2 linked regions of the Lepisosteus oculatus genome follow. The protein of the gene in region 1 interacts with the protein of each later gene in a pairwise test. Links are inferred from orthologs where the notes say so. Each region holds a gene or a part of one and is shown on either strand. Other genes may lie near its edges.

Region 1 (11,526 bases):
AGTATGCTTTCTGGTTCTTACAAAATGCAAATTGCAGTAATGAGGGTGCTTACAAAATATGCGGTGTGTCTTTCCAGCTACTCTGTTGTTGTGGAGAAAGCGGATGAGACATTTCAAGGGTCGGCTCTGCGGCCTTTCACCTGGCGATCCCTGGCTGCTCTAAACAGAATCACAGGCAATGTTTCGAAGGTGACTTTGGAAGCGTGGCAAAAATGCTCATTGAAATAAAATGTGCAAGTTAGTTTGCAAGATGTATTTAGGGGCTTTCGTGAAGACTTCATTATCCCCAGATAGTTCCTGGAAGTATCTAGCCGAGATGATACACAGATATTCGCTCCTAGTCCCAGAGGGCTACTGTGTCTTCAGGTGTCGGTTCCACTCTGGACACTTGGTGACTTATTGAATAATCAAGTATGTTCTATATTACCATAGTGTCCAGGTCTTTACTCATTGAGGATTTTCAGTTGTCTGTAATACCATGTGTGGTTCAGGCCTCCTGGACCAGAAGTGAATATGACTGCCCTAAGATATACTTTTTTTCCTTTTGGATATAAGGTACCTTAAGTTGCAGACCATCTGGTCATGTCTGAAAACTTCACTTTTATAGAATGAGTGAGCAAAGATGTGCAATCTATTAGTTGTCTTAGGTTACCTACTGTATAATAAACTATACAAATAAAACAAAAGGCTGGAAAACAAAAGAAGTAAATATTTTTGCATGTCTCAATTAAACACCAATATTTAGATTACAAATATATTGGAAAATTACAAAACATTTTTTAAAAATATTGTTATCTTTAAGCTATTGCCTAAAGATAAAAGCTGTTTTGTTATTAATTTAAACTTGCCAGCCGATAAGGCATTTTCTGATACAACTTGCTTCAATTGTTCTCAGGAACTGCTGCTATGCTATGTCATCAGGCCTTTGGATATGACAGAAGAAGACATGTCCACCCCTGATTGCATGAAAAGGATCAAGGTTCAGGTGGGAAGATTTCTATTCCAATTTAAATAATCCTTTCAGGATCAAAATAGGTCCTTTTAGTCTAAAAACAGAATTACTGGTTGACGGGTATCTCTCTGATTAAAGGAAATACCGAATAATGAGAGTTACAGAGAACAGAGAAAAGGATATCTCTGTGTAAATCTTCCAGTGTTTCTTATGAAGAGATTTTTTTCTTATTAATGTATTTTGATATTTCAGGAGATTATTGTGAGCAGGTGGATATCTTCTCGAGACCATACAGAACAAGAGGAGATATAGCTCCGAAGCAATAACTGCGGTTCGTTTCAGTCAACTCTGAAGCTCATGTGAGATGCAACTTTTCCTGATGGCGAGCACACACAAAAGCATATTTTGTCTGTCGTTTTTCACATTCCTTAATGTTTATTTAAAACTAAATCCTGCAATGAACGCCTACTACATAAATAAATGTGATTCCCTACCAGCATAAACCCTGCTGATCGGTTCTTAGTCTGAGTCTGTTAAAAATTGTGACATTGTATGAGGATTGTTTATATGTCAACTTGCTTCACTTCTGTGCAGGCCAAATGCATTAAATTTGTGACAAAATGGTCTTTTTATCTAAAGTCAAGTTGAGATTTCTGTGTTTGTTTTCCATTCTCAAGCTTGAAAACTATTTGGGATCTTGGGAGAACCTACAGTATTATTTTTGTGCTTGAAGTAAACTAAAGTAAAACAAACTGTCTTGTTACCTGTGTTAATGTTTGAAAAATACTTAAAAATGCAACAGATACTGGAACCAATAGCATTTGTTGCATTTTGTAATGTTTCTTTCTATGTATTAGTCTCACTTTTTCTTAGTAACTTATAATCACCAATTAGTAAAGACCTGGAAACAAGGGTAAACTAGACTGAGGAAGTGCACTCAGTCAATAACAACTCAGTGGATGTTATTGATTCAAATAACATTAAGAATGCCAGAAAGCAGAATCATCCTAACAGAGGTCTAATTCTTCTTTTGTATATATAAAATCAAAGGTAGCAGCCATTTGCTGCTGTGTAATCCTTATTAGGGCTCAGTTTAGGGAAGACCAATGGAAATCAATGCAATGAGTGTACAATTGAATTTCTTCCATAGTGCTTTACATAAGTAATTATAACTGCTTGCCCTTAAAAAAGAAAGATATTCCTTGTAAATTGTTAATTTTATTCTTATACATTTGAACACATTAAGTATAGAAAAAACAATTGGAAAATCAAACTGACAATTAAATTAAAATGCATTTTTTTGTGCAATTCAGTGTAAAACAGATGAACATTTGTGAGGAAAAGACAAAACAAGGTTATGAACAAAACATAGTTTACCTACACTTCTGCTACCAGGAAGGTATCTCGGTTTCAGCATATCCTGGACACTTTATCTCTCCATCTATATTTAATAGTAATCCGTTAAGCCTAATTGACCATTTGAGTGAAATCAAACTTAATTGGTTTGAACTCACTCAACGGAAACTTGTGAAAACTGATACGCAGTTGGAAGATTAGGAGAGCTGCTTGTGCCATAAGGTTATTCATTGTCAAAACACACATGCCCAGTATATAGAACTCAGGTGTCATTGTAGACAACAAAGGAACCCTTACTGTAATTTTAGAGCTTTGTGTCCTTCATGTGTGAAGTGATCCAAGGATAGAGGTGAATTACTGATCATAATCAAAACTATCTCCATCATGTGCAGCTTTTTTTAGAAATGGACCAGCTTTTATTTAAAATGGTAAATTCAAAACATTGTCATTATTATTTAACTTATATATTATATTAACATTATTATGTTATATAACTGTTATTTTTAACTAGGAAGTTGCCTATTTCCAATAAGCCTGCTTCTTCAGTCTGTGGTCTTTGGAAAAAGAAGAATTAGATCTTTTAGCCATTTGCAAATCAATAAAATTGTGGAAATTTCCTATTTTCCTCCCGCTCATAGCAGATAGAATGCTGTACAGAGAAAATTAGCTATCCCAGATAGAACACTGCGCTTAGAATAGAATACATTACATTTTATTTCAATATAACGGAGCACCTCAAAATACTATAAAAGTGAGCAGATATAACTATTTGTCTTTTTGATGAAACAACTTGCTCAGATGACCAGACTGTGGTGTTTGTATGATTGCTAATTGCTTCTTTCACCATACCTCACTCTCCTTCCAGCAACGCTCCTTGATGCATGACAGTTCAGCGGCTCAGCGCTTCGTTGTGGTGACACTCGGTTGTATTTTTCTTTTGTTGTGTACGTTTGCCACCTTTTTTACTAGCACAGGACAAAGGCATTGCTACAGAAAATTAATTGCATCCTGTTTCAAAAACAATCCTAAAATAACTCCAGATCCATGTCATGTCATTTGCCTACCCAAGCAAGCAATGAGCACAAGACAAGGGTACACCAGTCCATCGCAGGGCCAGTGCAAGCCAGTCACACATGGGGACAATTTGGAGGCCACGGTAAAGGCAGAGGGGGTAAATTTGGCCCGGACACCGGGATAACCCCCTACACTATCCTGAAAAGCCTGGGGATCTTTAAGGACCACGGAGAGTCAGGACCTCGGTTTAACGTCTCATCCGAAAGACGGCATCCACTACAGTATAGTGTCCCCGCCACTATACCGGGGGCTTTATGACCCACACTAACACCACTTCCAGCAGCAACCTTAGCTTCCCAGGAGGTCTCCCATCCAGGTACATGTATGATTTTATTCTGAACAGTTTGAACATTTTTGAATGACAAATTTTAAAGTGACCCGGCTCAGAGCTCTCTGTGCATCCTAGCACAACTGCATTGTGTCTTCATTTCAGCTGCTCTTTCTGCTTGACAATGGAAGCTGCAGTATCCAGCCTTTTACTTCTACATGTTTCTGAAACTCAGCAGAAAACCACAGTTATCAAATGGTGTCACAGAACCATTGAAAAATAAACTGAATTCTGCATACTTCTTACAGTATTGTGAAGAAATTCCATCACATGCACTCAAACCTCAATCAAGTCACACACCTCTTGCCCTGTAATTTATATACAGTAAAATTCCTAATATTGCAATGGCCTTCAGAGAGAGAAAAGGCATCAAAAACTAATTAATTCCATATACATGTACCATTTTACAAACCGTAAATACAGTAACATAAAATTCTGATGTGGGAAAAAAAAACATTTAAAGCACGTGTGATGGAGCAGCTGGTGGCCTGGTGTCAAAACTGAAGGACAAAATTTCCCTCACCTTTCAATTAGCCAAATGTATTTCAAATCAGGCCATTTATGTTTTCAGTGAACCACTCTGAGTCAAGCAGGTTCAGACGTAGCTGGTGTCATCTCCTTCTTTCTGAGAACCATCCACGATGTAAAAATAGTTTTCAGAAATTTCCTGGTAGAGGGTGATGTACCTGGATGCTCTCTTGGTTCTTGGAAGAACAAACTTTTCTGTGAATTCAGTCTTGCTCAGGCTGCTCTTTCCCTGTGTGGCCAGCACACAGTTGATAAAAGTGAGAGCATATGTATAGCAGTTGTGCTCTGTTTCATTGTATCTGTAAATGATAAGGAAAAGTTATCAAAGTAAAAGAAACTTCTTACTTGATTTTATTTTGTATCTTTTTATGTACATTCTATAAAACTATTTTTGAAGTGTCTCATACACAACGTAAAGCTTAAACTTAACTCCTCACTATAATCTCAGTTTCTAAATTTTGCAAACCCTATGAAACAATATTTTGCCAAACAACACATTAACAGAAGTGAAGAGGAAAACAAACATTGAAACTTATGAAAACATGTAAAAGTTAGTCTTTGTTGAAATGACAAACATTCTGATATTCCATGTGTTGTGCTAAATGTTTCTTTGTCTAAATTAAACTGCAGTGAATCAGTCTTTCTGCATAAACTCCCATAGTCCAACTTTATTCATGTCACTTAGTATTTTGAAGTAGTGTGGATTTTTCATTAAAAATCTGTTTTTTTGAAAGAAATACCTTTGTGAATGCCACATCTCTGCGGAAGAGAACTGCTCCAGGTAGCAATCCCACTGATTTATCAAACTGTACATGTCAGGCTGGACCAGGGGAACACTGACAGACTGATCCCACCCCAGCTCATCTCTACAGATGCCAGTCTCATTGTAGTTATAAACTACACCTGCAAGGAACACACAGATCTTCATGCAGCCTCCGAGCTGTTGAGTGTTTTAAATGTTAGTAATACACGTGTTCATACACTGAGAACAGTACAGGTGGCTGAAAGTATCAATATAAAAATGTTAATATACTGATTTTTAAAAGGTAAACCCTCTAAATTGATAAATGTATTCCAATTGCATGAAATAAAGTAAGAATTAAAACATTTCTAATAATAAGGACACCATCTACTTTTCATAACTTAGCAAACTGTTAAGGACTCCATAAGATATAATGACCCATGGATGATTAGCATTTTTTGTACACATTATACAATAGATGAAGAGGTTCTGTTGTTTTGAATGCAAATCAAAAGTTAGGTTTCTGTGAGATTATGTAAGCGTTATTTAGGTAGTCATACAAACTGACTAGTAACCTTTTGTTTTCCATTTTTTATAAAAAAATGGGAACCTATTGTAGGCATGATTACTCCCCCTAATAATTTCATAACCAAATGTGACCTCATCCGCTTTCGAAAGCACTTGCACATCTTTTTATCTGCTGCTGCCTGCACGTAAATTATTTTCACACTGCCGTTGTCCCATTTCATACTCCTTTCCCACTACTGCGTCAACTACAGAACATACTAACCCACTGAACTTCTGCAAGTCTGAAACTGTTTCCTGTGATATTCCATCACTGTGGAATAAATTCAATAATTGTGGTGCATTCAAAATACACTGTACAGTACCTTTAGTGTTGGTGATTCCAACGTGAAGATCTGATCTTCCGTCATACTCTCTGTGGAAGTAAGAAACTTTGAACAAAACATCGTAGAAATAACTACACGTTGTGAAAATTGACAACTCACTCAAAGCCAGCTATGTTGCTTTCTGCTACAACTTTTCACCATTCCTCATACATCTCAATTTGAGAGGAACAACTGATTTTTTCACGTTGTTTTTTTTTTCATTTGAATCTTCAAAAACGTGATCTGAACAGCTCAAAGTGTACCTTACGTGACCACAATATGTACTGTTACAGTACTAATAGCAAATCCGTCAAAGTTGCCAGTCAAATCCAAATTACTCTATTGTCCCTTGACTAGTGTTTTTTTTCTTCCCTCTACACGTTCATCCATTTAGAAGGGTATTTTATTGTAAATACAAAATGCAGATGTACTGGAATTCAACTGGTGGACTTGATAATGACTAAATTATTTCTACAACACATTACCGTCCCATTTGACAAAAACTACAGGTTATTTTGATTAATTTCAAACGACGTGACCCTGGCATTCGGTACAGTAGACGTCTGAATCTGCTGCAGAACAACTTTCGAACAGGGTTCTACAAAATGTTGGGGGAAAAAATCTTGAACAGAAAAATCTGAAACGTCCTGGCTCTCTCTGAGAAATCACAACTGATGTCTTCAACTCGAAGGCGATAGGACGTGGACTGTTCTTGCCGATGTTCAACGAAGCAATTAACGGAGTATTGTTCATTTAATAGAAACTGCTTTTTTGTTGTTGTTTACTAAGGAGTTAATTGCGGCATACAGTGCCTTTGAACAGAACATTCAGTTCCTGAAATAGAGGTTGTGCTCATTTTCCCTTTTCCCTGACACACGCCTGTGAGTGAATCACGGTCGACAGAAAACAAAACAAAATCTGCCGCACCGCTAAAGCGATCTCACCTGAGAAATTCCCCTGTCGTGGGCTTGACGAGGAACGAGCACTTGGCTCTCTGTCCGCCCGCGAAGGGACTAGGGATGCTAACCGGTGCCTCTTCAAACCGCCGGCAGCTCAGACTTTCGCCGCACTCGGGGCAGTTCTCTGGGACGAAAAAACAGTAAATGTCCTTGTCACAGTGGTGGAATTTGATAACTGCCTTCTCCATTTGGAGCAGCCGCGGACACACTGAGGCAAAACCGAGTGTCAGGCAGTGACAAAGTAACAGATCGCACCTTAGAGATCAGAGAGCAGGTCCTTCCTACGGCTGTGTGATGTCACTTCATTGACGCGATGACTGGCTGCACGCAAACCTTTAATTACATAGCGGGTGTGTTTTTTCTCTCTCTCTGTGGTTATAAGAGACGGTGAAATTGCATGGAGTGTGTTCGACACAAAACAGTGTTTTACCGGACCGTTTTAATTATGGCTTATTCTAACGAAGCGTCTGTAGATACGAGTGCGGTGGGGGTGACTGTAGTGTAATGTTGTAGTGTGCGTTAAATCGCGTTAGCAAAGTCCTGTGACGGGTACATAATTCCACTGTTAGGCCACTTTCATAAACGACAGTTGCTGTAGATTACACATTTATTTTTCCATGACTATTATTTCCCACTTAAAAGTCAAACAGGCTGTTTGTTTTTTTAAGATCGGAACCCTTGGTTGCAGTTCCTTGTTCCGGGGGGATGTAATTGAAGCGTGCACCCAAAGTATCTGGAGGAGGTACAATTCTGTAACCCTTATGGAAGACAGAACATGACTACTAAGCAAGTCACCTGCAGGTAAAAATTGCTGTTTTTCTTTGTTTTAGATATACATTTTACACGTCCATATTTAAAAAGAGTTTAGCTCTCATATTCTGAAAATGACATGCTTGAGAGCAGAGTTCTAAAGTGACGTTATGGCGTGTCGTTTACTTGACCATCAATAATTTAAGCACTGTAACGTTATACGTTTTCTAATGGAAAAGGAGAATCAAATCACTATCGTTGATAGTGGTTGACAGTGTCTTCATTATGATTTTTTTTTCATCCAATTTGATCAGGCAATCTAAAATGAGTAAGGAGACCTTCTGAAACAAGTAGAATGAGTAGACACTATGGAAGAGTTACAGTGGCTTTTTGGGCTGTTTTATTACCTGTTAAGTGTTGTTACCTTAACAATGTCAGAATTTGCTTTTAGATCTGTGAAATACTTAAGCTTTAAGCTCGAGGATCAGAAGCGAGGAGCTACTGTTGTTGTACACTACAGGTCCATTGAAATTGTTTTCAGACACTGCTGTGTTTGTCAGTGCTCTCCGTGACGTCGTTTGCAAACGAGAATTTATTCTCAGCTGTTTTCTCTGGTTAAATGAAGAATAGAAAAAGAAATACACCTCTTCAAATCGTTTAACCTAGGTAATCAGTTCTAATTCTGTAAAGCATTAAAATCAAAGGTCAGACTTTCTCTGACCAGTTTTATCAACCGGTCGTTTTTTGTAAAAAGTGGGTTTTTCTTATTGTGGGCAAAATGTTTTTTTTTTATGATCTTTTCTTCCAGTACTCTACCAAGACGTGCACAATAGCGGTAGAAGTAACCCGATAACGACAACAATACATTAAGGGTTCTTCCTGGTCATCAGAGATCACACCATTAACGGTGGTGCATTTTAGAGTAGGATATAACCCCACTAAGAAAGTAATCCTGATTGAGAATAAAACACTTCCCGTGATCTGTAAATCGATGCTTTCTCCAAAAACAAATGGATGTAAAAAATTAATGGTCTTGCGGAGGGAGATATTTTAAATGACATTTGTTCCCCAGAAATGTGCAATGTGTGTTCATGTGGGATGCATTATGTGGAATGCATGTGCTTTTATTAAAGCGTTCAAAAATCTAACTTTCCGCTCCTCGTACAGCTCATCATGACTGCTGTTTGTCTCCGTTGTAGGTATTTCTTGCATGGCGTTTGCCGCGAGGGGACCCGATGTATGTTTTCGCACGATTTGACTACAAGCAAACCCTCGACGATCTGCAAGTTTTACCAAAAAGGGCAGTGTGCATACGGAGATCGCTGCAGGTAGAAAGTTCTTGTCAGTAACCCTGTCAGTTTTTTTTTAACAATCATTCGATCCCTTTAAAGTAATTCTGAAACACAAGAGGCCTACAGAATTCATTGACTTCGAATAACTGTCATTATAACTATGCCAATACGAGCAATAATATTCAGCGAGATGACAAATCTGACGAAAGAGAACGTGTGCTAAAATGACTCTTCACACCAGAGGGCGCTAGCATCACTGAAATGATGCGTTACACGCCATGAATTAATCGCGTACACTTAGGTCGACAATGGTGATGTTTTACTATTGGTGCTCACAGGACTATTCTGTGAGGTCCCGCCATCATGTGCCAAATGTCTTAGCGTTGCGGTGCATGTAGTGCAATATTCTAAGATGTCATATTTGTCTTGTCAAGGGGAACACTTGTTTTTGTAGAGAGAAAAGCTTCCTATGGCAAGTGGTAAGCAGCACATAGGAGAAACCCTCTAGCAATTGGATGTTTTTACCCCCCCAATAGACCTGAGATCTTATTGCCGTTCGATAAAATGTATTGAATGATTTTTTTCTAGGTTATAGCTGTACCAGATTTCCCCTCAGTGCCATTCTGGACGTTCGTATATTCCGACTTGCTAAGGCATGGGAAGAAAGGAGCAATAAAATAGAATGAAAAGAAGAGCATTCAGCTTGTTTGAATCGATTAACTTTTTAATCATCCGCTAATGTAAATGTAGATTTAAGTTGACGACGATTATTTTTCTGCGTTTTTATCACAACCTTGAGTCATGTGTTTTTTTATTTGCAGTTTGCAGATAAATATTGTGTTTGCTATTAAAATGTCTTTCTAAAGATAATTTGTTTGTTTTTTTAATCTGTGATTTTTAATTCTTAAAAAAAGCTGTCGGTAGTTCATCCTGATTTTTTCTTCAGAGTTTTAAATGGTGATGCCAATCAATTTCTTTCGGAAGACAAGTCCGTTTAATAAACATTTGCCTCCTATCATCTTGACCCCTTTATAGATTTCCAAAAATAGATAAAGAATTTTGGTAAGCAAGGCTTCAGAGTTTATTTAATTCCAGTATGATTTTTCAAATGATCCCTTCTCATATTATATGCCATAAAATTAGAAGATGAGTTGTTTTTAGCCCCACGACTAAAATATATAGGTTAAGAATCTTTAAAAGGCAGTGATACTGCTACTACCAACCATCAGTATAAGATCAATAGTGTGTGGCTTTCCTGTAATGCTAGCTTACACCGATGTGATATTATTCACATTTTCCGTTTTGAACACTCATTCCATCCTAAATTTATGTATGTTTTAGAAAATCGTCTGACAAACAGAAAAGAAATCGTGACGATCTTCGTTTTATTATCGTTTAGCGTTCAGTGTATTGTCACACAGTCCAAGAAAATATGAACAAAGAAATAGAATAGGCTGGCTTTAACTCACCCTGTTCGCTTGGTTGCTAGTAATTGAGAATTTGATCGATCCATCTCTTTAATGACCCTGTGGTGTCTACCTTAATACAGTGATGTGGCCAAGGATCTGGTTCCAAGTTATTGCAGTATTCTGTGTCAGGATGACTCCTGATGTTCATCTCGAACGCTCCCTAAGATTGTTTAACAGTGCTTTTAAAACCTTTCCAAAGCAACACATTCTTCTTATTGCATGTTGTGTGTTTTGTAGGTATGATCATATTAAGACAGCTGCTGGAAGGGGGGCAGGTGCCCCCGGAGATCTCACCGAGAAGAGCTGCAGTGGTCTGGCTGCAGTTGCAGGAGCCATCCCCCCAGCAGGCTCTGGGAGACGTGGGAAAAGATCCTTAGTCTTGAGAGACAGAGGTAACACATCTCTTGCAGGAGCTTTTGGCTTCAGAGCAGCCTGGACTGATACGAGTGTGCGTGCACGCACATTTGTTTAAAGTTGTACTTTTGTTTCGTCATCCGACGGCCAGCCAGCCCCTCTTGTCTTGCAGAGTAATCTTTGAATTTTGGGAGAGGTGTTAAAGAAACAGAGGGCCAGCAATTTTATCACACAAGTCTAGTGTCACACTTCTTCCCTAAAGGGTGAGCCCGCCAGCTAGTTTTAACGAATTGTTCTGGTTTTGGTATATGTGAGTAACATATTGCAGCTGGTGTGTTTATGTTTCTATTTGGTGGCTGTTTAGACAGTCTCAAAGTGGTTTCACTCTGGAATTTACGGTGGCTATAAAGGAGAAAAAATCGTTAAGCTTTTTTGGTCCCTTAACCTCCTCAGCAGTTTGTTGTAATTGACCCTTTTCTGGTAAGCAGTGGTTATGCACTGCAAACTGACGAATCAAAAAAATAAAAAAATCCTGGTTCACCCCTGACCAAGACTGAATTATTATTACTACTCGATACCATTTTTTGTACTCTTAGGAGCATAAGCTACCCTGTCTTATATATGGTAAATGTATATCAAGTTTAAGGCATTTTCTGCATTTGTTGAAATCTGTAGTTTTATCAGTTGTAAAAATGAGTTTGTTTCTAATTCCTTTAATGGTTTAATATCTGACACTAGGCATCATAACGTCATTTGAATCTGAAGCACTGTGCCTGAGACATACTGTAGTTTTCAGCTATTTTTAAAGTGGTCTGTTTGAAGATAAGGGTTC
Region 2 (10,957 bases), on another chromosome or scaffold:
AGGAAGGGCATTCAGCCCACTCAGCCTGTTTGATCTTGAGTAGCTAATTGATCCAAAAATCTCAACCATCTGTTTCTTGAAAGACACAACAGTATCAGCTTCAACGGGGCTGGGTCTGCTCACTCTCTGAGACTGATCCCCTGTGTCCAGGCGCCAGGCATTGCGGAGGGGAACCCGGAGTGATCCTGCCAGGCTCTGGGCGCCAGGCTGCGAGAGAGCCCCATCCATTCACAGCAGGGACCGGACCCGGCATGTCTGAACAGTGGAGAAAACTCCGCTGAGTCTGGAGACGCCAGCAGGGGACAGACGATCACAGGACAGTGTGGCTGTGGCTGATTTCCTCTGAGAGAGACAGAAAAAGGCGGGATTCAGGACATGAGACGCAGGGCCCAGAGGTCGAATCAGAGACGTGAATCAGAGCTGTGAGACACTGGACCCAGAGGTCGAATCAGAGACATGAGACACAGAGCCCAGAGGTCGAATCAGAGACGTGAATCAGAGCTGTGAGACACTGGACCCAGAGGTCGAAGCAGAGACATGAGACACAGGGCCCAGAGGTCGAATCAGAGACATGAGACACAGGGCCCAGAGGTCGAATCAGAGACACGAGACACAGGGCCCAGAGGTCGAATCAGAGCTGTGAGACACAGGGCCCAGAGGTCGAATCAGAGACATGAGACTCTGGGCCCAGAGGTCGAATCAGAGCTGTGAGACACAGGGCCCAGAGGTCGAATCAGAGACATGAGACACAGGGCCCAGAGGTCGAATCAGAGACACGAGACACAGGGCCCAGAGGTCGAATCAGAGACACGAGACACAGGGCCCAGAGGTCGAATCAGAGACATGAGACACAGGGCCCAGAGGTCGAATCAGAGACACGAGACACAGGGCCCAGAGGTCGAATCAGAGACACGAGACACAGGGCCCAGAGGTCGAATCAGATCAGAACTCTGAAATACTTTAATGAAACAAGGACTACGCACGCTGATACACTCCCCTCTCTGATACACTCACTTCAAGAACTCTAGGTAATGTGTTTGTGTTTAAAAATTTTCTTGGACTGGCAATTAATATATTGTGGTTGCTTGAACACTGGATTTTCCACTGGGTTGTTGAAGTATCGATTCTGTCTGTCAAGGTTTCTGTCTGGCTGGCCACACACACAACCTTTAAATCAAGGGTGTCACACTCTGTTGTTGGGGTACCTGGTGACTTCAGGTTTTTTGTCCAATCTGAGTAGTCAATTAAACAATTAAGCTAATCAGTTCCCTAATTAGACATACAAAGGATTTTTCTTAAGTTTCCAGGCTGAAAAAATGCACTTCAACAAAAGTACAATTACCTCCAAAGCACCTACCTGGTTGAATGTATTAACAGAGATGGTGTTAATTAGATGAGTACCAGCTTGAATAAAAAAACGAAAACACCAGATTCTCCAGGAGCTGTGTTTCACAGTAAATAATCTGCTCAGGCCTAAGGTACCACAGAACAAAAAATCTTATTTTCTGTTACCTTAACTTAACTTAAAGTAACCTTAATAAATTAGGATAAATTAACGCATACCTTAATTTATTATTTGTACTTTGTGGGTGTAATGTTTCACTTGCTCTGTATTCTGTACTATATTTGCTGAGAATAAAGTTTTGCAGATGTGTGGTCTGGTGTGATGATCAGTGCTGCTGCCTCTCAGCACCAGGCCCTGGGTTTGATTCTGGACCAGCAATCCTTTTGTGTGGAGTTTGCATGTTCCACATGTGATCCTGAGGGTTTTCTCCCATCTGCCACAGACACGTTTCACGTTGTTTAGAGAGCACGATCTCTGGCTAATGTAGGGATTTATGAATATCTAAAGACCGTGTGTTCAATTCATATCATATGTGGGAGGACACAAGTGCAATGAAATACAAATACAAACACAAAACAGCAGCAGCAAAAACAAAGTTAAATAACATACAACTTAAATACAAATCAGCACATCAGCACAAGCCGTGTGCAAAAATAACACCAGTGTGAGTCAGAGGTAGAGGCAGAATTTAGCGATCTGACAGCTAGTGGGGGCTACAAACAGCGCCACCCGGTGTTCACACTTTGTACACACAGGTGCCAGGTTGCAGATTTCTTCCTGCAGAGCCGGAGCTCAGACCCTCAGCACAGAGGCAGTGAGGACTGCAGGCCCGTCCTCAGCTGTCAAGAGGTAGAAAACGAGTTTCCTGGGCTGGGCTCTCCAGGTGAAGAACAGCATCGTCTCACCAGGAGCTTCTGGGAGAGCAATACTGCCTCTCTCCAGCCCTGCCCTTGCCGACCCAGTGAATCTGTGAACCTGATAGGCCACAGTCCCAGAACCCTGGGTCACTGGAGTCTCCACACTGTCTCCGTCCTCTCCCAGTGACCCAGCAACACCAGTGTCCAACACACTCCAGGAACTGGGAGCACTGGAGTCTCCACACTGTCTCCGTCCTCTCCCAGTGACCCAGCAACACCAGTGTCCAACACACTGCAGGAACTGGGAGCACTGGAGTCTCCACACTGTCTCTATCCTCTCACAGTGACCCAGCAACACCAGTGTCCAACACACTGCAGGAACTGGGAGCACTGGAGTCTCCACACTGTCTCTATCCTCTCACAGTGACCCAGCAACAACAGTGTCCAACACACTCCAGGAACTGGGAGCACTGGAGTCTCCACACTGTCTCTATCCTCTCACAGTGACCCAGCAACACCAGTGTCCAACACACTGCAGGAACTGGGAGCACTGGAGTCTCCACACTGTCTCCGTCCTCTCCCAGTGACCCAGCAACACCAGTGTCCAACACACTGCAGGAACTGGGAGCACTGGAGTCTCCACACTGTCTCTATCCTCTCACAGTGACCCAGCAACACCAGTGTCCAACACACTGCAGGAACTGGGAGCACTGGAGTCTCCACACTGTCTCCGTCCTCTCCCAGTGACCCAGCAACACCAGTGTCCAACACACTGCAGGAACTGGGAGCACTGGAGTCTCCACACTGTCTCCGTCCTCTCCCAGTGACCCAGCAACACCAGTGTCCAACACACTGCAGGAACTGGGAGCACTGGAGTCTCCACACTGTCTCCGTCCTCTCCCAGTGACCGCTCCTAAAGGTAAAAATGCAGTTTAAAGCTCCTTAGAGGGTACAGAGATGGTCATGGTTTGCATAACATACAAATAGGATCCGTTTGTGGTCAAAGCTATAGGCTTGTGCTGAGATGGGAACGAGCAGGTTACCGAGCGGTAAAATCTGGAAGATAGGTAGAAAAAGTGCTGTTGTGTTACCTGATTATTTCAATTTTCCTCTTGTACACTGGAGGATTGTGGTGCAGAATCAAGAAGCTGAAATGATCATGGTTTGAGTAGTCAATAATAGCTTCTTAAGACGTGACTCTCAGACGTGACTTACTTTGTCTATCTTTTCAAAACAGCTAGGATGTAATGAAGAGAACAGAATTAACAGGACCCCCCAGAAAAGTCTGATCCCAATATGGTAACTTTTCATAGAGTTTTTTTTTTTTTAAATGTCAAAATCTGGAGTCTAAAAGGCATGTATGGAGAGTGTATAACTCTGCAGAAAGAAATTGAACCCAGGGCCCCAGCCCTAAAACACGGTAATGCTAATCTGTAAACACGGTGCTACATGTCTTCTTACACGTGCTTATTTAAGGATATACAAGACATTTCAGACTAAACGGTTATTAAATAAGAAGGAAGAGAACTCTTTATAGATAGTGTAAAAGGAGCTACAAGAGAATAAAGATAATGAACATGCTGAGATACAGATGCCACAAATCTATGCAGAGGGTTGGTTTGTGGAGCGGAAAACAGGAAGCAGGAAGCTGTCTCAGCGGGCGAAACCTTCATCGAGACAGATGGTGTACCGCTGTCGCTCCTGGATTAGAGCAACACTTCAGACTGCGGTTTAGTTAGTAAAGAAGTAAAACAAGCCCTGGTCCGAGTGTGTGTGTGCGCCCTGTGATAAACTGGCGTCCTGGCCAGTCGGTACCCCATATTCTGTCCGTTGCTTGCTGGGATAGGCTCCGGTTCCCCCGTGACCCTGAACTGGATGGATAGTAAACTAGCTCAGTTTACAATTAAATCTGAAACTATGGGACGTAGAAACGCTGATGTGAAAATGAGACAGAAATCATTTATTTTGCAGAATTAAAGCACATTAAATTTAACATGTATAATTGCAAAACGAGTCATGCGTTAAGTAGAAACGTGCTCTGTACGTGTTACTATACCTATACACTGGTGGTGGTGGAGGGGAGTCCCTATTACCTGTAAAGCGCTTTGAGTGGAGTATCCAGAAAAGCGCTACATAAGTGTAAGCAATTATTATTATTATTATTATTATTATTATTATTATTATAATACCACATTCTCTAGCCATCACATGGGTTAGTCTGAGCCCTAGTGGGATACGCGTTACAGGGTTTTATATATTCGTCTATGTGCAAAAGCGAGCACCATGCTTATGTAGAAAAAGGCTTGTATTTAAAACAGATGGGAGTTATGTTCCGACTTTGCAACTCTCCAGCAGTAGTTTTCTTATTTAAAAAATGTCGTGTTCAATGTAATAATCCGAACGAGGTCCAAACAACGGAGCGAGGGCAGGGACGATAAAGGGGTATTTAATACAGACCCCAGACACAGCTTTAGCCTTTCGGGCAGAGTTCGTGCCACAGCTGGGTTTCCGTAGTGTAGTGGTTATCACGTTCGCCTCACACGCGAAAGGTCCCCGGTTCGAAACCGGGCGGGAACAGCTGCTTTTATTTTATTACCCCTATGGAATGTGAAGTAACTCTTCCTATTAAACAAGAAATACATTAATCGTGCGTGTGAAATATGAATTTGATCCGGCATCATAATTTCCGGTGTGACATAGATTTTCGGGGGAGAATAGAAGGCAACATTTGAACATCTCATCGGAAATTAACTATAAAACCAGTAGCACAAAGTGTTGGAGGGAGAGTCGAGGAGGTTTCCGTAGTGTAGTGGTTATCACGTTCGCCTAACACGCGAAAGGTCCTCGGTTCGAAACCGGGCGGAAACACTTTTTTTGTTTGTTTTGCTGAGAAGCCTTGTAGAAGGCGCTTTTAAAATTGAATTTGAACCGTATTTCGAAGCTCAGTTCGAGCTCCAGTACCTTGAATAGCAGCGAAATGTGCTCGGTAGAGTATGTTGCTCCGTTGTCAAATATATACATTTCAAATATAGGCCTGTTTTGTTTTTAATGTTTTTTTAATAGTACCGTTATAAAATGTTCTCGTTTCCCCAGAAGTATAATTGTTAAGTACCGTTGCTGAAGTGTAATGCTGTTATATACCACTTAGACGCGTCACAGCTGTGTCAATTGCATTGAATTGTACTTCACAACTTTTACGTTTTAGAAGATTGAGGATAATTCTGTAATTTATATATTTCCAAAAAGATTGAGTTTTTTTCGTTTTTTAAAGTGCCATGATAAGAAAATGGTTCAGTGTCCCGTGTTTGAAGAGGTTAAATCTGAGAACATTCATAAATATGCCTTTGAGAAAGATTTAAAAATATACTGTAATTGTTTTTTCGGAATTGTATGATAAAAAAATTCCATATATATATCAAACGTTATCACATAAAGATATTAATTGTATTAATAGTGTGATCTACTACTGATATCGAATACAACAGCACTAAGTTTCCGTAGTGTAGTGGTTATCACGTTCGCCTCACACGCGAAAGGTCCCCGGTTCGAAACCGGGCGGGAACAATTTTTTTTTTTTTAGAGAAAAATATCAAACACTCAATTAAATAATTTTCTAATTTAGTTAGAATTTAGCATTGTAATGTCCAATTTTAGGAGTTTGAAATGTTTTTAATTAAAAAAATAAAACCCACTACCTCTGCTGCACTGACTTAAATACTGACTGTTTATGTTTGAAGAGAACTACAAAACATCTTAAGATCTTTAAACGGGAAGGGTGAAACCAACACAAAAACATTTACAGCTCAAATTATTCCTAACTCGCCACAGGCGAGGACGACTGCAAGGGAAACAATCTCAGCGCCGGGCCCTGCTCCAGCTGCCCGGCAGCTCTGTATCCAGAATGCACCGCGGACCCTCGCCTGCTCTTTTTTAGTTCTGCTTCCGGGTCGAGTCTTCCTCTTTCCTGTGCCTGTAAGCGAGAGGAGCAGGGCGGCGGTAGCCTCCGATCTCAATCTGAGTCCATCCTCCCTGAAAGGCACCGTGTATCTTCGCCAAAATGACCGAGCAGATGACTGTAAGGGGGACCCTGAAGGGTCATAATGGTTGGGTCACCCAGATTGCCACTACCCCGCAGTTTCCCGATATGATTCTGTCTGCTTCCAGAGGTAACCCGGCCGCCGCCATCATTGCCTTGGCTATTCCGGTGGTCTACGTGGTAGCGTGATTTACAGCATAAAACGTGTTATAATGCGTGAACATGAGAGTAGATTGAGGAAAGTGCTTAAATTATTTTCACGTGCCGTTTAGTAAATACAAGATCGTTTTTTTAAAGCAATGCAACATTAAAACGTGACGCCTGGACCCGAGAGAAGGTACGAGTGTCAGAGGGGGCAGACACGTGTGTTTCAGAAAGTCGTGAGGCACAGGCTGGGATCTTTTGTTTCTGCTGATGAAGGACAGAGTTGTGCAAGCGGTTCACTTCGCGCTTGTAGGCCGGCTGCGCTGTAGGGCAGCATCTCGCAGATCTTGGCGTTGGACCGAAAGGCCGCCGTGGCGCCGGGCGCGTTTCCCGGTCTGGTCAGTGGCGCTGAGGCGCTTTTTGTCCGGCTCGACGTGTGAAGTGCGTCAGACGAGTGGTCGGTAGCGGAGCCGTGTAGTTCTCGGTAGACAGTAACGTGCTTCCTTAGCGAGATGATCGCTGGGCTGTTGATGTTCTGCTAGGCCGGGAGGAAAAAGAAGTTGGGAGGCGCAATTTAAGCTTGGATCTGATTTGAAGCGGGATATGCGTTGCTTAGAGTTGGGTTCGGTCCTTAGAAATAACACTTTCTGTTAAGGCACTGGTGTTCATTTTGAAGAAATGTTAGTTCAGCGTGTGGACAACACTCAGTGCAGTTTGTACACTGCTGGGCATCCGTTCCACATGTCCTGCTTCTGCAGAGGCGCATGATGGGAGGTGAAGCTTGAGCAGTAGTCAGTAGTAGATGAGGGATGAAAAGATTAATTTTAAACCAGTGCAGTGCCTAGTGGGCAACAGGGCCTTCTCTCTTCCCTCCCCTGAGTACCTGTTTGATTGTGCTTGGGCCTCCAGACAAGTCCATCATCATGTGGAAGCTCACCCGCGATGAGACCAACTACGGCATCCCCCAGAGAGCCCTGCGTGGCCACTCGCACTTCGTCAGCGACGTGGTCATCTCCTCCGACGGCCAGTTCGCTCTGTCGGGATCCTGGGACGGCACCCTGCGCCTCTGGGACCTGACAACGTGAGTGAGCGCGGACGCAGAGAGGGCTAGGTTGGTGGGGTGGCTCTTTCACGCCCTTCCCTGCAATTATCTCCACACGCTCAATGACTGGCTGTGTTTGTCCCCATTAAGCCAGTGGTCCCTAGTCCTAGTGACCCACACACCTGTGGGTTTCCATCCTATCCCGCCTTCATTAGTTAATTCATTCCTTACACTTATATAGCGCTTTTCCTGGCAGACACTCCAGTCAAAGTGCTTTACAGATAATGGAGAATCCCACGGCTGCCACCAATGTGTACCTGAATGATGCAGCGCCAGTACTCTTGCTACACACCAGCTCTCAGTGGGGAGGAGAGCAGAGTGAAGCCAGTTCAAAGATGGGGATTTTTAGGAAGACATGAATTGTAAAGGCTAAGGGGGAGGGTGGCCAGGGCACTAGATAATTTAAGCCTTAATTGACCTAAGAAGTTCCTTTGTTTGAATATTTGCATTTTGTTTTTCCATCATGAGTTTGGGACTTTATTTCACTTGCGAAATAATAACGGTTAAAGCTCCAACACGTTTAAGACCTGGGAATAAACGGTTCAAATTAATCTTATTATAAAGTCAACAAAGGGTTTGATTGTGTCACTGGCTGGAATGGAAACCAGCATATATTGCACATCAGCTGTAAACAGGAAAACCGTCTGTAAACTGAGAATTTGCGTGTGTCTGCAGAGGCACGACTACCCGTCGCTTCGTGGGGCACACCAAGGACGTCCTGAGTGTGGCCTTCTCCGCCGACAACCGGCAGATCGTGTCCGGGTCGCGCGACAAGACCATCAAGCTGTGGAACACCCTGGGAGTCTGCAAGTACACCATCCAGGTCAGGAGGCTCGACGTGACCCGCTGGAGCGCTCTCACTCGGCCAGCATGTGCGCTCGCCTTCGCCACCTGCCCCGTCACTGTGTGCAGGGAGGCGAAAGCGCAGGGAGTTTCCACACGTGTCCCAGTGATTACACATCTCACGGTCCTATCGTCCGAGCCTTGTGGCCGTGACGACAAGTCCTGCAATTATGACGGGACGTTGTGGAAATCGGAAACGGGCTTCAGGCTTTAGCGTTTCTCAACTCGAAAGCTGCTCTGCATTGTTTTGTGGGGACTGTTCCTATAAAATGGCGAGGCCTTGATGTTTGTTAGCCTTAACGCAGTGGAATTCACAGTCGTGAAGGAGAAGTTCAAGTGGGTAGCTGTGTCCGCGTGCGTAGGCTGCAGAAGAACAAGTAAAGGTTTATTCCAGGCTGAAAAAGAAAAGGGACTTGACGTTTCGACTGTGGCGCCTTCTGCAGGTCAGAGGGCTCCACGGCGGAAGTGTTGTCCATTTTCTTTTCAGCCTGGGATAAAGCTTGACTTGCTCCAATGAAGGCGGAGGGCAGCAGAAGAGCAGTAGTGGGTATTGAGGTTGACTGACCCCTTGCATTTTGATGCTCTGTGTTGTAGGATGAAAGCCACACTGAATGGGTCTCCTGCGTGCGCTTCTCCCCTAACAGCAGTAACCCCATCATCGTCTCCTGTGGCTGGGACAAGATGGTCAAGGTACTCGTCGACCAGCTGGAAACAGCCTTCTAGACTAGGACCCTACATCTGATCCGGGGAAACTGCAGGCTATTGGAGTGATTGCAGTCTATAGGCGACACGTCTACCGTGTTGGATGGCTAATGGCTCTTCAAGGGAACTTGTCCCAAACTCCCATAGTCCTCTATGCAAAATGTGCCTCTTAAATATAGTTTCCACTTGCACATTTTTGATTTTGAGAAGTGGGTCCCCTATTAATCGTCTCAGGATTCCAACTTGGTCACTGTACAAAGTTCCTGTGGGCACAGGAGAGAACCTGCACTGATTACAGAGCGGCAGTGTCGCCTTTCTGCAATAATTAACCTTTAGAAAAGTGTTCCTTTTGGAATTTTAACAGTCTTGGATTCAATTATATAATTTTGCCCATTACTGCAGTTTGTCTTTCATTTTCTGCCGTCTTGTTCAGGGTGTGCACATTTCTATTATGCTTGTTCAAGACATGGGGAATACCTTTAGTCAGAAACTGGTCATTTAAATGACTATTACGGCACATTTATTTTTTTGGGGGGGAGCTCAATAGGCTTTGTTTCCATGTACATCCCAATGATTACACAGTTCATGGTCCTATCGTCCGAACTCTGAGGTTGTGACGACAAGTCCTGCAATTATGATGGGATGTGCCTATGGAACATCAGCAGTCTTGGTCAAGTGTTCAGCTCATTGCGGACTGGAAACAGCAGAAATACCTGTGAGTGGAATCCTGAGTGTTTAAAAAATGTATTTCTAGGTTTGGAACCTGGCTAACTGCAAGCTGAAGACCAACCACATCGGACACACGGGCTACCTGAATACCGTCACTGTCTCTCCAGATGGTTCTCTGTGCGCCTCTGGGGGAAAGGTAACTGAAATCCCTGCAGCTGGCAGAGGGGGTGGGAGTGAAAATCTGTCCATGCTCTAGTTTCTGGAACTGGACAACCCTGAAGTCAACCCTGCAGACTGCAAGTACATGTCACAGTCTGGTGGTGTTAATGCAGTGGTTTCGTGATGCTGTTCTTGTGAAAATGTATTGCTTCAGCTCCTCTTAGGCTGTGAAAGCAGTGTGATTTGCTCTTGTAAACCATGCTGTGCTTCATTTAACTGATGTGACCCGAAGAACTTGGTGCACAAGTGTTTTCTGTAAGGCAAGTGCAGGGTGTTTGTAAGAGTGGCAGGGGAAAGATTGTTCCTACATGAAAATCTGTTTTGTCTTCATGCTGTGATGGAAACATTCACTGCCATCTGTTTCATTTGGTGATGATAAAGAGGCTGTTTCTGAGCACGTTTCTGAGTTTGGGTACATTCCCTTCATTTGACTGCATTCTGTTTTTTTTTTATGCAACCACTTGGAAGAGTTAATCAGATGGTTTAAAATAGAACACCAAGAAGCATGCATCCTTTATTGATTTTTGTTTTTAGATTTAGTAAGTTAAACTTGAGCCCCTCAGGCTGGTTGATGAGAAAGCTGAGCAGATCCAGCCTGCGCTGTCCGCCTGTCCTAACCTTTCCTCTCGCACCCGGGCGCTGCAGGACGGGCAGGCGATGCTGTGGGACCTGAACGAGGGCAAGCACCTGTACACCCTGGACGGCGGAGACACCATCAACGCTCTATGCTTCAGTCCCAACAGATACTGGCTGTGCGCCGCCACTGGCCCCAGCATCAAGATCTGGGTAAGGCTTGAGCACGCACTGGGGTGGGGAAGAGCCTCGGATATCGGTGGCCTTTCTTTGGGCTGATCACTGCAATCATCCTGGAAGGTTTCTGTATTCATGCTGCACACAGTACCAGTGTTCTTGTTTAACCAGGGTTTAGAGCTGTGTGTTAATGTCTCGAAGCCTAAGAGCTTTCATTTGTCTTTTCTCGTCAGTGTGGGATAAAGTTGATCTCTGTTGTTGTAAGTGGGATTTGCTTGGTAAATGTCCTG

What was found.
Region 2: the proteins of mkrn2 (region 1) and rack1 interact in binary tests that used the Homo sapiens proteins (3 or more experiments, as listed by UniProt). The two-hybrid records come from large-scale screens. The link is inferred for Lepisosteus oculatus from reciprocal best matches to the Homo sapiens genes MKRN2 and RACK1.

The regions. Positions count from the first base shown.
Region 1 is NC_090699.1:62,267,089-62,278,614, forward strand, and holds the start of mkrn2 (E3 ubiquitin-protein ligase makorin-2), read left to right. Parts: upstream 1-7,094; 5' UTR 7,095-7,179; intron 7,180-7,274; exon of another isoform or gene 7,275-7,497; 5' UTR 7,498-7,604; coding exon 7,605-7,630; intron 7,631-8,778; coding exon 8,779-8,907; intron 8,908-10,577; coding exon 10,578-10,732; intron 10,733-11,526. Other genes in the region: tsen2 (tRNA-splicing endonuclease subunit Sen2), read left to right, coding at 78-189, 896-985, 1,205-1,264; MKRN2 opposite strand protein, read right to left, coding at 4,306-4,537, 4,979-5,141, 5,871-5,920, 6,815-7,017. UniProt on the Homo sapiens protein: E3 ubiquitin ligase catalyzing the covalent attachment of ubiquitin moieties onto substrate proteins.
Region 2 is NC_090706.1:29,976,188-29,987,144, forward strand, and holds the start of rack1 (small ribosomal subunit protein RACK1), read left to right. Parts: upstream 1-6,150; 5' UTR 6,151-6,259; coding exon 6,260-6,368; intron 6,369-7,291; coding exon 7,292-7,463; intron 7,464-8,159; coding exon 8,160-8,307; intron 8,308-8,921; coding exon 8,922-9,017; intron 9,018-9,783; coding exon 9,784-9,894; intron 9,895-10,562; coding exon 10,563-10,703; intron 10,704-10,957. UniProt on the Homo sapiens protein: Scaffolding protein involved in the recruitment, assembly and/or regulation of a variety of signaling molecules. Interacts with a wide variety of proteins and plays a role in many cellular processes.